2 linked regions of the Struthio camelus genome follow. The protein of the gene in region 1 binds, or shares a complex with, the protein of each later gene. Links are inferred from orthologs where the notes say so. Each region holds a gene or a part of one and is shown in the gene's direction. Other genes may lie near its edges.

The links.
Region 2: the proteins of AMHR2 (region 1) and AMH are in contact, whole or in part, in a crystal structure (PDB 7L0J), measured with the Homo sapiens proteins. The link is inferred for Struthio camelus from reciprocal best matches to the Homo sapiens genes AMHR2 and AMH. Residues at the interface, in NP_065434.1 of Homo sapiens: Gly31, Val32, Arg33, Gly34, Ser35, Thr36, Thr38, Leu39, Phe62, Ile64, Glu75, Met76, Arg80, Asp81, Ser82, Glu84, Pro85, Ser95, Arg97, Ala98, Pro100, Ser101, Leu106, Thr108; in NP_000470.3 of Homo sapiens: Leu471, Arg472, Glu474, Val477, Leu478, Ile479, Pro480, Glu481, Thr482, Tyr483, Gln484, Lys534, Leu535, Ile537, Leu539, Glu542, Arg543, Ile544, Ser545, Ala546.

What each region holds. Positions count from the first base shown.
Region 1 is NC_090969.1:3,345,011-3,353,065, reverse strand, and holds the start of AMHR2 (anti-Muellerian hormone type-2 receptor), read left to right. Parts: upstream 1-4,974; 5' UTR 4,975-5,012; coding exon 5,013-5,037; intron 5,038-5,145; coding exon 5,146-5,301; intron 5,302-5,957; coding exon 5,958-6,153; intron 6,154-6,856; coding exon 6,857-6,879; intron 6,880-6,997; coding exon 6,998-7,063; intron 7,064-7,767; coding exon 7,768-7,886; intron 7,887-8,055. UniProt on the Homo sapiens protein: On ligand binding, forms a receptor complex consisting of two type II and two type I transmembrane serine/threonine kinases.
Region 2 is NC_090967.1:3,455,098-3,462,363, forward strand, and holds the start of AMH (muellerian-inhibiting factor), read left to right. Parts: upstream 1-4,222; 5' UTR 4,223-4,312; coding exon 4,313-4,916; intron 4,917-6,309; coding exon 6,310-6,488; intron 6,489-7,224; coding exon 7,225-7,266. Other genes in the region: SF3A2 (splicing factor 3A subunit 2), read left to right, coding at 477-545, 1,343-1,675. UniProt on the Homo sapiens protein: Plays an important role in several reproductive functions. Induces Muellerian duct regression during male fetal sexual differentiation. Also plays a role in Leydig cell differentiation and function.

The sequences.
Region 1 (8,055 bases):
AAGGCCAGAGCTATATATATATTTTTTAATTTTGGCTTGTCCTTATTATTATTATTTCCCCACTCCGACCCTCTTCCTCCACTCCCTCCCCGAGATCCGTCTGCCCCTCCGTAGCTAGCCTTCGATGCCATCATGCCTTGGTAAATGTATATGATCATTGAAATACTTTTTAGCAAAAAAAAAAAAAAAAAAGGAGGAAAAAAAAGAAAAAAAGATTCTATATTATTATTATATATATAAAAATATAAAATGTGTTCGTTTGAGAGAGGAGAGATTTTGCTGCGACCATGGCCTTGGTCTCTTTGATGCCTTATCTTGGAACAGGTTGACCCTCTGGGGCAGTTCGGACAGTGCCCGAGCTGTCGTTCAGATGCTATATTACATTTTACATTGTAACCTTTAAACAAAAAACAAAAACCAAGTCTTTTTTGTACACTTTGCTTTTAGGTTGTTCTTTAATTTCTTTTTAATTATTTGGGTGAGGTTTTACTTTTTCCCCTTGTAAAACAGCTGCCCTTTCCCTGCCCTTCACTGGACTGTTGGTCTTTATTTTAAGCGGTCTTCTTTGCGAAGATCCTTTTCCTCCGGCTTTTTTAATCCTCACTCTCGCGGGTGGAGCGTAAACTGTACATGTGGAATCAATTTGTAAAGGATTTTGTGCAGGTTCACTCGAGCTATTTACCAGAGGGTCTGGGACCCCGTGCATTGGGATGATTGGGGTACGGTTGGAGACGGGTTGGGAGGTCCTTCAAGGCCTCAGGCAAACTTATTTTTCTGCCTTCGTTGGTCTTAATAATAATCCTAAATGGGAGATCAGTGCCTCCCGAGCGGGAGATGTTACTTTTCCACCTTAAAGAGATTACTGGCCGCCGCAGGGCCGATCAGAGGTGCAAAAGCAATGCGTGGGGCTGCCCTGGCAGCAGGGCGAAGCAGTAGGCAGGGCCGGCGGCGACTGCTCGTCCGCCGAGGCATGGCTTGGGGCGTCCGGGGCCCGGTTAGCTCGGGGTGTCACCTTGCAGGTTTTCTTCTTCCAACACTACTGTATGTGGCTCTTCCGGCTCTGCTTCTGCCAGGCTTGTACAAAAAAAATAAAGGGGGGGTGTTGGAGATGGGGACGATGGGGGGAAAATTCTACTTCTTTTCGGTGCCCAGCTCTTCCCACCCCACCAAGGGGATGGGAGAGGACTGGGAGCGCTAGACAGCTCCGTCCTCTTCCTTTTTCTCCCCCACCCTCCTCTTCCTGCTCAAGTCGCGAGACAATATCTGCCCTTTGCCCTCCCACCTCCGGCTGTAAACAGGCGAGAGGCTCCCTGCCCGCGGCAGGAAGGAGACGCAGGGAGGCCGGGACGCGCTCGGCTCCGCTCCAGAGTGCCGGCGCCCCGCGGCCCTGCCGGCTGCCACCTTTGGGGGATTTCATCGGTGGATCTCGCAGCCAGCGTCTCCAGTGGGCAGAGCGCATGGGGCGGCTTTAATTAGTCTCCGAGATCAGGCGATGGTGCAGCGCGCCTCCGAAATACCCGTTGAAAGCTGCCCCGGTGCTCGACACAGCAGGCGGTGGGCAGGGAGGCACGGATGGGAAGGGGCTCTTGAGCTCTTTCGTTACATCTGTTTTTGTTTCCAAGCAGAAATGGTGGGGTGAGACGAGGCAGAAGCGGGTCTGAGCCGGAGATGAGAGAGCGCCCTGTCGGAAAGGTGTCCACGGGCAAGACGTACGGAAAGGTTAGATCTGAAACCTTGCTGGAAAGCTGTGGCCAGGGCGGCTGGAAAGTAGAGCAGGCACCATTGGTCCTAGAAATACCTGGTGCGCATCTCAGATGTCTGAACTGAGCCTAGTTTGGAGGTGGAAATAGTGTTGCCAGCAGGTCGAGGGAGATGGTCCTGCCCCTATGCTCACCTGGAGCGCTGGCTGCAGTGCTGGGCACCCAGTATAAGAGATACGGAGCTACTGGAGCGAGTCCAGCGAAGGGCTGCTAAGATGATTAAGGAGCATCTCTCATATGAGGAAGGGCTGAAGGAGCTGGGACTGTTCAGCCTGGAGGAGACCGAGGGAGGATCTTCTCAATGCGTTGAAGTATCTGAAGGAAGGGTGTCAAGAAGGGTATCTGGAGGACGGGGCCAGACTCTTTCCAGTAGTGCCCAGTGACAGGGCGAGAGGCGACGGGCACAAACTGAGCGTTCATCTGAACATAAAGAAAAGCTTTTTGACAGCGACGGAGCTCTGGAGCAGGTTGCTCAGAGAGGTGATGGAGTCTCCGTCCTTGGAGACTGCCTGGACAGGGTCCTCGCAACCTGCTCGAGGTGAGCCGGCTGGAGCAGGGGGTCGGACTAGGTGATGTCCCGAGGTCCCTGCCGACCTCAACCGTTCTGCTGAGCTCCCGGTGCTCATTCAGAAAAGAAGGGGGCAGCCGGTGGAGGCCAACGCGGGCGTCTTGGTCTTCCAGGTCCCACCGAGTTTGCAGTGGTTAGATCAGACTCCTTGTATTTGTCTCCTCCGGCCGGGAAGCTCAGCAGGGGTTTGGACGCACGCTCGCGGGGGGAAAAGCCAGCACAGCCGCCCTGGGGAGAGTTAGGTGAACTCTGGCCGCCGTCTCACACCTGCACGCGGTGTCTTCCTCCCTCCTGGCAGAAAAACCGAGGGCGATTCTGCTGTATGTTTTTCTCCAAAGTTTTTTTTTTTTTTTTCTTTTCCTTTTTTTCCTGCCTGAGGATAACCAGGAAACTTCCCGGGCGACGGAGAGCCAACGGTTCCCTCAGTGGCTTTCTCCGCTCCCGGAGACGCGTGCTCCCACTCTATTCGCTCGGCTACCCAGGGGGCTTTGACGTAGCCGGGCCACCGGAAGGGAGACGCAGGCTCTCCGCCAAGGTTGCCAAAAGAGCAGCTCGGCTCGGACTAGCTGCAAACATCTTTGGAGAGGAGTTAAACCGGCTCGAGGCCCCGCCACCTCATGGGCACCCAAATCGGGGCACCCCGTGGTGCACCGAGATGCCGCCGTGAGCCCCACGGGGCAGCAGGGAGAGCTGCCCGGGGCCCGTCCTCGCTCCGAGACGCGCCGGCATGTTTTCCGCGGCAGTGTCGTCTCGCTGGAGCCACGAGGAAGCTCCCGAATGCGGCCCCGGCGCCTTGCCCGGCTGCTCTGGGTGCCCCGGATGCTTTGCTACAGCGAGGCGTCCGCCAGCCACATGCCGCCCGCTCCCTGGGGCTGAACCCGGCGGCGGAGCGACCCCGGCCAAACTGTGAAGCGCGAAGGTGGTTTGGGGTTTGTTTTGTTTTGTTTTGTTTTGTTTTACCTTGTTTTTACAGAACTGCAGGGAGGGAGGAAGTAACCGTGGCGATTCCTCCGGCTGATCCTTTCTGCGCTCGCTCGCTCTCTCTCTCTCTCTCTCTCTCTCTCGATATATATTTTTGCATTTGTATATTTTTATATAGGAAACTTTAAGCATTTGTATTTTAATAATCTGTGAAGCACTATGAATCCCCCTGGCGCGTCCTGTCCGTGTCCTCCCCCTCGATACTGGAAGCTGCAGAGAAATTGATAGAAAGCAGTATTTTTTAATTTAATCATGGGGTTTTTTGTTGTTGTTGTTGGGTTTTGTTTTGTTTTGTTTTGTTTTTAACCCCCCCCCCCCGGTAACGCTGCCTTGTCGGGGTCCCGGCGGAGCCGCCGCCGAGCCCCCCTGTGCCCGGAGGGGAGCGTCGCCCGCTCGCCTGCTCTGCTCCCTCCCAGCCCACCTTCCCGCGGAGGCTGAGCCAGGAATCAAGTGCCAAACCCTGGCGCCGCGCCTGCCCCGGAGCTGCGAGGATTTGGGGGCCGTTCGGGTGTTTCGGGTTAAATTTCCCACGCCCCCCCAATGCCAGCTCTGCAGCCCCGGCGCCGTGGCCCCCCCCCCCCCCCCATCATCCCTTCGGTATTTTAACCGACGGAGTTTTAATTTTCCTATGGAAACGCAGCCGGGAGGAGTTGTCCGAGGCGTTTCGCCTGGCGGGAAGCGGGGGGACAGAGGATTCGGGGACACGACGGCGGAGCAGGGCCGCCCCCGGGCTCCGGCCCTACTCCGCGGGCCCCGCCATCCCCCTGCCGAAACGGCTCCATCGTCCAGAGCCATCGCAGGGAGCAAAAACGTGCCTTGATATCCGGGCGAATAAAAGCGGGGGGGAAAGGGGGGGGGGGTGCTCCGGCTTCGGCTCCTTTTCTACCCGCCCGGGACGGGACGGGTGTTTCTGGCTTCACATATCTCCGAGCTTTAATCCACCGTCGCCCCTTAAACCCGAAGAGCAGCCCGCGGCTGGGCGGGCTGGGGGGCGAGAGCGGCCCCGGGGCGCCCGAGCCCGCCCGCGCCGCCCCGACACTGGCAATAATTCTCGATCCGCCTAAAGACTGTTTTACCTTGTAATAACGTCCGCGCTTTTGGGTTTTTTTTTGTTTTTTTTTTTTTTTAAATCCAGTGGCTGATGTACTGATGTCCGAAACACGTTTTCAAAGTGCTATTTTTTTGTACAAAAGACTAGATTAAACGTAGTTTTTGGCTCCTTTGTAAACGGATGACGGCTTTTTAATTTTTTTTTGGGGGGGGGGGTGAGGGAGAGGGGTTGGGGGTAAGAAAACGCGCGGCGGGCCCGAAAGCGGCAGCGTTATCCGTCTGCCGTTATCGGCTGGGGAAACCGAGGCACCCGGCACCCCGAGCGCCTGGGGAAACCGAGGCGGGGAAGGGGGTGGGGGGAACCCGGCACCCCGCTACGGGTCCACCCGTGCCCCCAGGGGGTCCAGGCGCCGGGGGGTTGAGATTCAAGCGCTGTTCCCCCCACCCGGGGCACCCTGCCCCTCTCTCCTCCCCGGCGCGGGGGCAGCCCGCGCCTTCCTCCTCCTCCTCCTCTTCCTCTCTCCGGGGGCTGCCTCCCTCCAGGGTCCATTTCTCTTCCAGGCGGCCCCGGCCCCCGCACGCGTCCTGCCAAGTCCTTCCCCGCCGCGGGGGCGGCCGGGCACCCGCGCCAGGTGCCGGAGCTGGAGGCACCCATGGGGCTGGCGCCGGGGCCACCAGGTGGGTGCCGGGGCCCCCTGCCGCCAGCACCGCCGCGGGGACCCTCGCGGAGGGAGCGGGGTGACGGGAGCCGCTGCCACCCTCGCCCGCACTCGGTGTCACCCGCAGGCGCCCGGAGCCGCAATCTCAGCTGCGTCTCCTACAAGCACCCCAGCGTGCGGGGCAGCCTGGGGGGCGCGGGGGGCCCGGCCCGCCGCACCGTCCGCTGCCCCCCCCGGCAGTGCTGCATCGGCATCTGGAACCAGAGCCACGCGCTCGTGCAAGGTGAGGCCCGGACGCCTGGGCCCTGGGTCTCATCCTGCCCTGGGGTGGGGGGGGAGAGGTGAGACGGGGCTGGGGCTCATCCTGCCCTGGGGGGCAAGAAGGGGCTGGGGCAGGACCCTGGGTCTCATCCTGCCCTGGGGAGATGAGATGGGGCTGGAGCAGGACCCTGGTCTCATGCTGCCCTGGGGTGGGGGGTGAGGTGGGGCTGGAGCAGGACCCTGGGTCTCATCCTGCCCTGGGGGGGGTGAGGTGGGGCTGGAGCAGCACCCTGGGTCTCATCCTGCCCTGGGGGGGGGTGAGAAGGGGCTGGAGCAGGACCCTGGGTCTCATCCTGCCCTGGGGGGGGGTGAGGTGGGGCTGGAGCAGGACCCTGGGTCTCATCCTGCCCTGGGGGGTGTGAGAAGGGGCTGGAGCAGGACCCTGGGTCTCATCCTGCCCTGGGGGGGTGAGAAGGGGCTGGGGATGGATGCAGGGTTCGGGGGGGGGGGGCCGGACGCCTGGGTCCCGGCTCAGCTCCTGCGCTCGGCTGTGCTTGACCTTGGCCGAGCCGCTTCGCCGGGGACCTTGAAAAAGTAGCGAAAGGCGAGCTGGCCCCGTGCCCGCCGCGGGGGTCCGGGGGGTGCCGGGATGCCGGTGACAGCGGCAGAGGTCCCCAGGCTGCTGGGGCGCCGGGGGGGCCGGCTGCCCCTCGCCCGCCTGCGCCCCCAGCCCCGCCGGCACCCCCGGCGGCACCGTCCTCGTCTGCCTCTGCCACGGCCACCTCTGCAACAGCAACGCCAGCGGGCTGGGGTCGGGGGCGCCCCGGCCGGCCCCGGGCACCGGTGGGTGCTGGGGAGCATCGGGGGGTCCTAGGTGTCAGGGGGAACTGGGGTGCTGGGGCGGCATCGGGTCTTAGGGGAGCTGGAAGGGCTGGATGGGACCCTCTTGGGGGAGTAGGGTGGGCTGTGGGACCCATGGGGTGACCAGGGTACCCATGGCGGGGCTGTGGGACCCATGGGTGGCCATGGGACTCATGATTGGGGGAGTTGGGGGAGCCATGGGGGTTGGGGGACCCATGAGGTGACCAGGGGACCCAAGGGGGGCTGTGAGACCCATGGGAGGCCCTGAGACCCAAGGGGGCCATGGGACCCATGGTGTCCCTGAGACCCATGAGGTGACCCAGGGAGCCATGGGGGGGTCTGGGTCCTATGGGGGGGACGAGAGGACCAAAGGGTATCCCTGGGACCTATGGGAGGATTAGGGGACCTATAGGGAGTGGGTGGCCCTGGGACCCATGGAGGGGCTATGGAGCCCATGGGGTTCTGGGGGACCCATGGGTGGCCCTGGGACCCACAGGGAAGTGGGGAGAGTCAAAGAGAGATCAGGGACCCATGGGGGAACTGGGGGACCCATCTGTGGCTGGGGAGCCCATGGGAGGTTGTGGGACCCATGGGGGGTTATGGAACCCATAGGGTGACCAGGGGACCCATGGCGAGCCTGGGGGACCCATGGGGGACCCATGGTGATGCCAGCCCCAGGGCTGCCCTGGGCGGGGGGTCTCAGCCTGCTAAGGGAGGACACCTCATCCCGGACGCCTGGGTCCCCTGCTGGATTGGGGGGGAGGGCCCGGACACCTGGGTCCTTTCCCCAGGTCAATGGCCGGGGCCGGTGTCACCGTGGCCTCTGCCCCCAGCGGCCGGCCGCACGGGGCCCGCAGGTGCCCTGTGGCTCTGGAGTGCCGGTGGCCTCCTCCTCCTCCTCCTCGCCTGCCTGGCCTTCCTCGGTAGGGCCCGGGGGGACGCAGGGGGATGCGGAGGGACGCGGGGACCCCTCGGCACGAGCCACCCCCATCCCTGAGCCCCCCTGCCAGGCCCATGGGTGCCCCATACCTCCAGGGTACCCCTCTGGGTGGCTGGGGATCCCAGTGTCCCCAGGGTGCCCGTGTCCTTTGTGTCCTGTGGGTACCAGTGTCCCCTGGGTGCTGTTTCCACAGGGTGCCCATGTCCCTTGTGTCCCCAGGGTGTTGGTGTCCCCTGGGTGCCCTTGTCCATGGTGTCCCCGAGATGCCCGTGTCCGTGGTGTCCCTGGGTGCAGGTGTCCCCGAGTGCCATGTTCTCAGGGTGTGGGGGTCCCCGGTGTACCCAGGTGCTGTGTCCCTGGCGTCCCCTGGGTGCCCATGTCCCTGGTGTCCCCAGGGTGCAGGGTCCTGTCCCCAGTGTCCCCGGGTGTGGGGATCCCTGGTGTCCCCGGGTGCTGTGTCCCTGGCGTCCCCTGGGTGCCCATGTCCCCAGTGTCCCCAGGGTGCAGGGTGCCATCCGCAGTGTCCCTGGAGTGTGGGGGTCCCCTGGTGCCTATGTCCCTGGCGTCCCCAGGGTGCGGGTCCCCAGGGTCCACGGTGTCCCCAGGGTGCGGGTCCCCAGGGTCCCCGATGTGTGGGGTCTCCAGGGTCCTCGGTGTCCCAGGTGCCACATGGTGGGTGCCTGGCAGGGCTACGGCGGGCGAGGGCCCACGGGGGGCGGCCGCCTCGAGGGAGCCGGGGGCCGGGGGTGGCGGGGACCCCCCTGGACCCCCCCAGCCAGGACTTGCCGGCGCTGCGCTTCCTGCAGGTGCGGGGCACCCCGGGGTGGGGGGCACCCAAGGCCAGCACCCGCACAGGGGGCACCCACATAGGGGGCACTGATGGAGGGCACCCACATGGATGGCACCCATAGGGAGGGGATTCATGGAGGGGGGCACCCACATGGGGGGGCACCATCTTCAGGGGTGGGGAGCACA
Region 2 (7,266 bases), on another chromosome or scaffold:
ATGGAGAGAGTTCCCGCCTACATTTTCCAAGACATTAATTCCCAGTGAGCAGCAGACTTGCTCTATTCTAGCCTTTGTGGGGTTAATAGAGTGGAATGGGGGGAGGGGGTCAAGAAGAGATGACTGGAAGTCATTAAACCCCACTGAGAATTGGTGGAGGACTCTGGCATGAAAACTAGGCTGTATGCTGAGCTCTGGGGAGCCATTGAATTCTCGGTGTCTGGCACAGAAAGGAGCCTTCTGGGCTTTGCTCCTCAGCCTTTGTGCAGATGTTTTTGCCAGCACACTTGTCCTTGACCGATAGGAAAGTAACTTAATTCTTTCCTGCCCCCCTCTCTATCTAATAACATCCGAGACTAGCACATCTCACAAAGGCCTGGAATAACTGTGCTTATCTTGCAGGCTCTATTGCTAAAAAGGGCCATTGAGCTAATCTGGCGGTGCTAATAATAGCTCCTTATTCTTTCTTGATGCAGGTGCCAAGCAGAGAAATCGACAAAGCAGAAGGAAAATTTTGGACCCATTGGAACAGAGAAACCAAACAGGTAGCTGGAGCATTACAGCTTCTTTCTCAGGGATAGAAGAGAGCTCAGGAGGGCAGAGCAGCTTGGGGAAAAAGGCAATGCAGGAAGAGAACACATCCGTGGTGTCGCTGGCTTTGATGCTAAAATCTTGACTCTTTCAGTGTAACTGCGTAGTGACTCCTTTTGGGATAGGTGAAATGAGTTTCTTTGGCTGCTGGTATTGAATGGAGACAGTGTTGACCTGCTGAGCAACTTCTGCATTTTGTTTGAGATGTCCCTCTTACTCATAGTTTCAACAAAGAAACTGAGATTTGACTAGGTCACCGAGATATAACTTCCAAGACCTCTTTGTCCCTTAAGTTTCTCACGGGGCAGGGTGGATTTAGAAGTGCAGTGTTTAAGGCAAAGCTTGTACAGCTGCTGCAGAATTGAATTCCTATATGGAACATAAAGAAGTAATTTCAGTCTTCTCACTGTCAAGCTAGGTATCTGTGGTGAGCTTGTAGTGTGTGTTTACCCACTAGGTATCATATGTGGGGACAGGGCACCAATGCATAGGTAGGGGACGCTGACCCCATCACTGATAGCACTTGGAACAAGTTTCAGAGGAGTTAAAATACCGGGCAAGACTGGTGAAAGCCCTGAACGCTGTCAGGGTAGAAAGCCAGCTGTGATCTGTGAAGGTGATAGTTGAGGAAAAAAAACGAGTTTTTGTTCCTTGAGGCAGAGACAGAATGGGCAGAGCGGCTGCGTTGTGTGGTGTTCCAGAGTTGTCCCGAGGCGTGATTGTTCCCTCCTCTTTGTTTCTCCCGCCGCAGTTCTTCCTTCAATTCCACTTCAAAATGGAGAAGCCCCCAGCTCCCCCAAACCTCCCTCCAGGGCCCCCAACTGTGAAGCGGCCTCCTCCACCTCCGCTGATGAATGGCTTGCCCCCAAGGCCACCTCTGCCAGACTCCATGCCACCTCCTCCTCCAGGAGGCATGACTCTGCCACCTATGCCTCCCTCTGGACCAGTGCCACCACCGCCAGTACCACCTCAGCTGCCACCAGCACCTGGTGTACCTCCTCCTGCTCCTCTGCCACCCATGATGAGACCACCTCTCCCCACCGAGGGGCCAGGCACTATCCCCCCTCCACCTCCCTCCAACTGAAGCCCCTCCTGGACTCAGTCCCACTGGACTTCTTTGGCTCGCGTCTTTTTATACGCACGTTAGAACTGATTCAGACAAATGTTTCTGTTTTATATGCCTGTGATTTTGACTATATCCTGTAGGTTCATTAAAAGGTTTTCAGCTTTGCGCTCTCTGTTTTCCTGTGTCTTGGCTAAAAGTGTTGCTGTGTGTTCACTTTCTTTAGCCTTTAAATATATGAAAACATTTTCAGTCTGGTAATGTGTTGGAAATTATCCAAACAGGAGAAAAATGATTGCAGACCTCTAGGCTCTTCACTCACTTCTGAGGTAACTATATTAACAATTTATTAACAATTCAGTTGTGTTAGCGCAACGTATTTCTCCATTTTAGATTGCTTGACGTGTGTCCCGTAAATAACCAGCCAGTTAGTCAGTTGATATTCATCTACATTCTTTGTCAAGCAGTTCATTCAGGGACTGGGAGACTCTTCATAGACTCACCTAAAAGGATTTTATTTTATTTTATGACTGTAGTACCAGTAATCCCATTGGTGGACAGAACGTAGGGCAAGTAGAAGTTTCTAAATGCAGTTTTGTCTGTGTCCCTGCTGAGTTACAGTGAGTCAGAAATGCATTGGTTGTGCAGCTTCAGAAACCTCTTTTGTTCTGCCAGTGTCAGAGCACTCTACGGTAGCTCAGGTGTTGCCAGCTAAAAGCATAGAAGCATCTTTACTGAGGAATTAGTTTGGACTGGTTCTCAAGAGTCCTTGAAAAGTGCCAGACAAGGTTTCATTGAGAAGTCTAAAAAGACAATCATCCTTCTCTGATATGCAGCTGTCTAGCTCCTTCCCGGTGCTCACTAGCCTGTTTATGCCAAGCTTGGGTTTGCAAACAAAAGTTTTTAATAATTTGTTGGTGCTGTCATCATCTTTGATGATGGCAGAGATTCTGGAGGTGTTTAGTTAAAAGACTTTACTGAAACTGCAGTTATATTAAAATCTTAATTTATTGCTGTAATTCATAAAATGTTGTCTGTTTGCTTATGAAGCACCTGCTGTCATTGCATATGATTTTTATTGTATACATCCTCCCACTGGTAGATTAGTTTTGGCAAGCTTTTAGCCCTCTGTGTTTTATACTAAATGTTTCTTTCAAACAATCATTTGTGATTCCCATTAAAAAGCGGAAAAAGTTCTGAGATTTCTCCTCTCTGTCCTTTCTGGGATTCATCTCATTTAAGTGATGCGTTTCAGTTAGCGCTGGATACTAGGGCACTCTGTGGACAAAAAGTGCCCTCACTTTGCTAGAGGCTGAGCTGGCTGACCCCAGACTTGCTCTTAGCCAATGTCTGGCTCTTTTCAGTGACTGCCTAGGGAGGCTGTGCCTGCTAGAGCACTTCAGTTACATGCCTGTTGTCTGGTGCAAAGAATCAAAGCCTTTGTCTCTTCTGCTGGCCTGATACGGATCCCTTTTTACCCATAGCCACGCAAAGTCAAGAGCCAGGCAGAGGCTTTCCAGCTCTCAGAGGATTTCCAACTCTCACTGGCTTTCATGCAGTATTAAGCATTTTTTCTTAAGCTGAGCTGACCTGATGTCTGAATCAACCTGTGTGAATTTCATGTGTGTCAGGTTCATATCTTTTGTTCTAGCTCCTTTAGAAGAGAGGTCTGTGTTCACCAGCCCCTTGCTTTGTTGCCCTTTATTCCTGCCTGGGATGGAGTCCTATAGCTAGTTCCTGAGCCTTAATCAACTGCAGGAGTCCTGGAAACCCAGAGAAGGGTCTGACCATGTGCTGGAACTTTTTTGAAGGTACATTTCCCCCCTCCCCTCCAATACCAAAAAAAGGTATCTTGGGCAGGGAAGAGTTTCCCTGGAGTGAAGTAGGTAGTGGCGTTAGTAATTCCAAATGCTATAGTGAGTATTGGTATCTAATAGAGGGAGAATCCTTATAATATTTACATGTGTTGTGAGACTTACTAAGGCCTGATCTAATCAAATCTTAAGTGTTCAAATTTATCAGGCTCCAGCTGCACCCCATAAGGTACTCTTTTATATAAAAGTGTTCTTGTAATTTTGCAATGTCAAGCAACATAAATTTCAGGAAGAGACGTACTAAAAAACCCTGTAAGGTGGCCTCTCTAAACTGCACAGTGCACAAGGTGGCTTTCCAGTGAAGAGAGAGAGAGAGAGGGAGCACTTTCTCTACTTCTTCTTCTTAGTTTCTTCCCATTATCTGTCTTTATCCCACTCCTCCTAGTCTAGCTAATTCTTCCCTCCTAGTGTTTCATTACTGATGGGAATAGTATGTGCCAGTCCCCATGAAGATTCAAGTCTAGACTTCCATCCTCCTTTAAAAAAACATCTGAAGTCAAGGACATGCATCCCTACACGAAAGGGAAACAGCTTTAATTTTTTTACATTTCCAATACTAGATGCAAACCCAAAAATAGACCAGAAAAGTTTCTTTGAAACATCCCTCCCTCCTTTAGAGCATGACAGCCTTTGAGTTTCTCGAGGGAGGTGTGTTGTGCATTGTCAACTCAAGGCCACTGCTTTTTAAAAAGGGAGATGCAGTCCTCCCCTTCCGCACAACTGTTTTGAGAGATGCATTTGAGCGACTCAAGACAACGGAGTTTGGAGTAGCTGAAGTGGGAACATGAAGCCTGCTCTCAGGGTGCTTTTGCAGTGCCTGGTGCTGTTGCTCCCGTCTGTAGCACTGCCAAGAAAAGGGAGCATTGGGGAACGGATTTCCCCTACTGATGAAGTAGAGCTGCCTCTTTCAAAGGCGCTGGGATTTGAAGAAGAGGAGAGGAAGAGAGAAAATGCAAGTCTACACGAGAGAGTGAGACCCAGCTCATTGGCAAGATCAAAGATGACTGTTGCTACTCGCCTCTTTTCCAAGACTGACCCAGGAGCAAAATGCCTCCAGGTGATCACTGAAGATAGGGGCGTAAGCTGGTCTGACTCTAGCCTTCACTCTTGGCCACTTGGGGGGCTGGAAGGTCCAGTGTGCAGGGTGAAAATGGAGCAGGACGGAATGACCCCGAGGCACCTGGAAATCGTGGGTGTTCTCACCCACTATGAAAGTAGCTTCATCAAGCTGTTAAGACAACGTGCCAGCTGGGACGAAAGCTATCTTGAAACCTTTGGGATCTGTCCGGCAGGGGATGCACATGGTGCCCTCCGCTCCCTGAAACACATCCATGCTCACCTGGCAGAGCCAGGGGAGGATCGGTTCCTTGTGCTGCATCTGGAGGAAGGTGGGTGCTTTCCTGATGGAAGAAAGTAAAATTCCTGAGCTAAGACTCAGGATGTTGAAAGGGGGTTGAGCACAGTGCCCCGGCAGACAAATGTTATTTTATAGGCCTCAGAGACGCTGTCAAAAAAATTAAATTTGTGGGGTTGGATTCACTTTAAAATTAGTTGATCAGTGTATTAAAATATCTTTCCATTTATAGTTTTAAGCAGCTGCAGTTTTAAAAGTGATGACAGCCTGTGTGCAATAACATGCTTTGTCATTGGCTGTGATTAACACAAGTACCATGGTATTGGTGGCTTTTATAGTACCCGTTTTCTGAAAGTAAGAGCTTTTCTCACTTTCTGCCTTAATCTTTTGGATTTCCTATGCAACCCAGTACCAGTTCTATCTGCCAGGGAAAAGAGAGGAGACAATTGGACAAGCAGACCTGAGCGGTTCTGCTGCGGAGTAAACCTTTCTAATCTCAGCGACCTAAAACATATGCCAATATTTTATGCTTAATACTGGCTTGATAGCCCTGGAACCTGAACGTATTTTTTATAGCCTAAGTCCCCCATGTAGATCAAATGCATGCATCACTTCTGTTCTGTTTCAATTAGAAGTTATGTGCTTGAGGGAGGACTCCCTGGTTCAATCCTTGGTTTTAATCTGGCCTCCTGCTTAGCAAGAGGATCACAGTTGTTTCCCTGGCCTTGAAATTATTTCCTCCCCCTCGAAGGTTTTAGATTTTCAGCTAAACTTGCTGGTGTTGGTCAGCTGAGGATATGGCTCTTATCTGGAGAGTGCCGCCCTGTGTTCCAGCTGCAGGTGTTGATAACCAAGCTGCAATGCGATGACTGGGATTTTCCTGAGCCATTGAAGGGACTAAAATTGGAGAAGGGATTTCCAGAGGGCTTCTGTCTCTGAAAATTTGCCGGAGTAATTCGGAGAGCGAGGCTGTGCCATGCTAGCTGGGGCTGTAGGGTCTGCCCTGCTGACCATGTCCTGCCTCGAGAAGGGGGAAGGAAATTTGCAGTGTGCTTCCACTTGATCAGCTCAGGGCAAGCAGCCAGGACTTCCAGGCTCTCTGCCCTTCCTCTGCCACCAAAAGGTCCCATATCAGTAACATCTCCAGCTCTGTCCCACCAAGGGTCTTCGTTTGGCTCAGCAGCTGGTTCAGAGGACAGTGAAATGACTGTGGACGTGGGTGACTGTGCTGTGGAATAACCTGCTCAGCCAAGGAGGGGAACCGTTTCTATCATCCCCAGCTGTTAACAGCTGTGTAGGAACAGTGGTTGGCCCTGAAACCCCTCCCTTAGCTGCGTGCTTGTCTGTTGTTGCCCCTTCCAGGCCTGCCTCCAGGAGTCGGGCGGATGAAGGGGGTTGTTTCACGCTTTTTGTATTTTCCTTTCTAGTGAAGTGGGAGGCCCAGGCCAAGCTGCAGTTTAAGCTGGTTTTCCAGGCAGACGTGGGGCGGTCGCTGGGAGAGCTGCGGTTCGCCTTGCTGCTGTTCTACCTGGGCAGCCGAGAGGGGAAAGGCACCGGGGAGAGAGCCGAGCTGCTGGCAGCGGGAAAAGGGCTGTCCCAGGAGCAGGTATGCAGCCACACGGAGCTGGCCGGTGTGGCCGGGGCCAGGGGGTCCGGCCTGGGGTGCTAGCAGGGAAGGTGGGAGAGGAGGTGTCTTGGCACTCCTGGCCCAGCACCTTTCCAATTATGTCCCAGCATGTCTTCCAGGCAGCACCCTGTGGCTGGGGCCAGCGGGGCTGAGCTGTGCCTGAAGATGGTGCTGTTACCCTGTGCCCAAGCTGCTGGCAGGGACAGAGGGAGAGCACCGAGGGGGGGGTGACACAGCCCAGGCTGGCGGTCCGTTCTGGGGGGATGCACAACTCCCCCTTACTGTGCTGCTCTCTCCTCTCCCAGCTGCCCCAGTGCTCTCCAGCCTGACTGGGGAAGCAGCGGCAAAGCCAGCTCTAGTGGCACATTAGCAGGGGAGAAGTGTGTCTAGGGCTTGGGCTGATCTCACTGCCTACTTGGATGCCTACTTTGTTCCCAGCTGGGCTCCCAGACATCTCGCAAAGCCACCAGTTGGCCTTGAGGATGGCCTGGAAGTGGACATGACCATTTCCAGGGTCTCCAAGACATCTGGCATCTGGCACCCGCTACTGCTAGGTCTCTCGGTCATGTTAGCCACTGTCCATACCTTGGACTGGGTCAGGCCCAGGGCATCCAGAGCCAGGAATGAGCTTAACAGGAGGCTCATTTTACTGCCTGCCTCCCGTGATGTCTCACCTAAATTCTCAGGGGCTTCTGTGTCTTTCATCTCTGTACAGAGCCTCTGCCTCTCCAGGGATACCCAGTACTTGGTCCTTGGA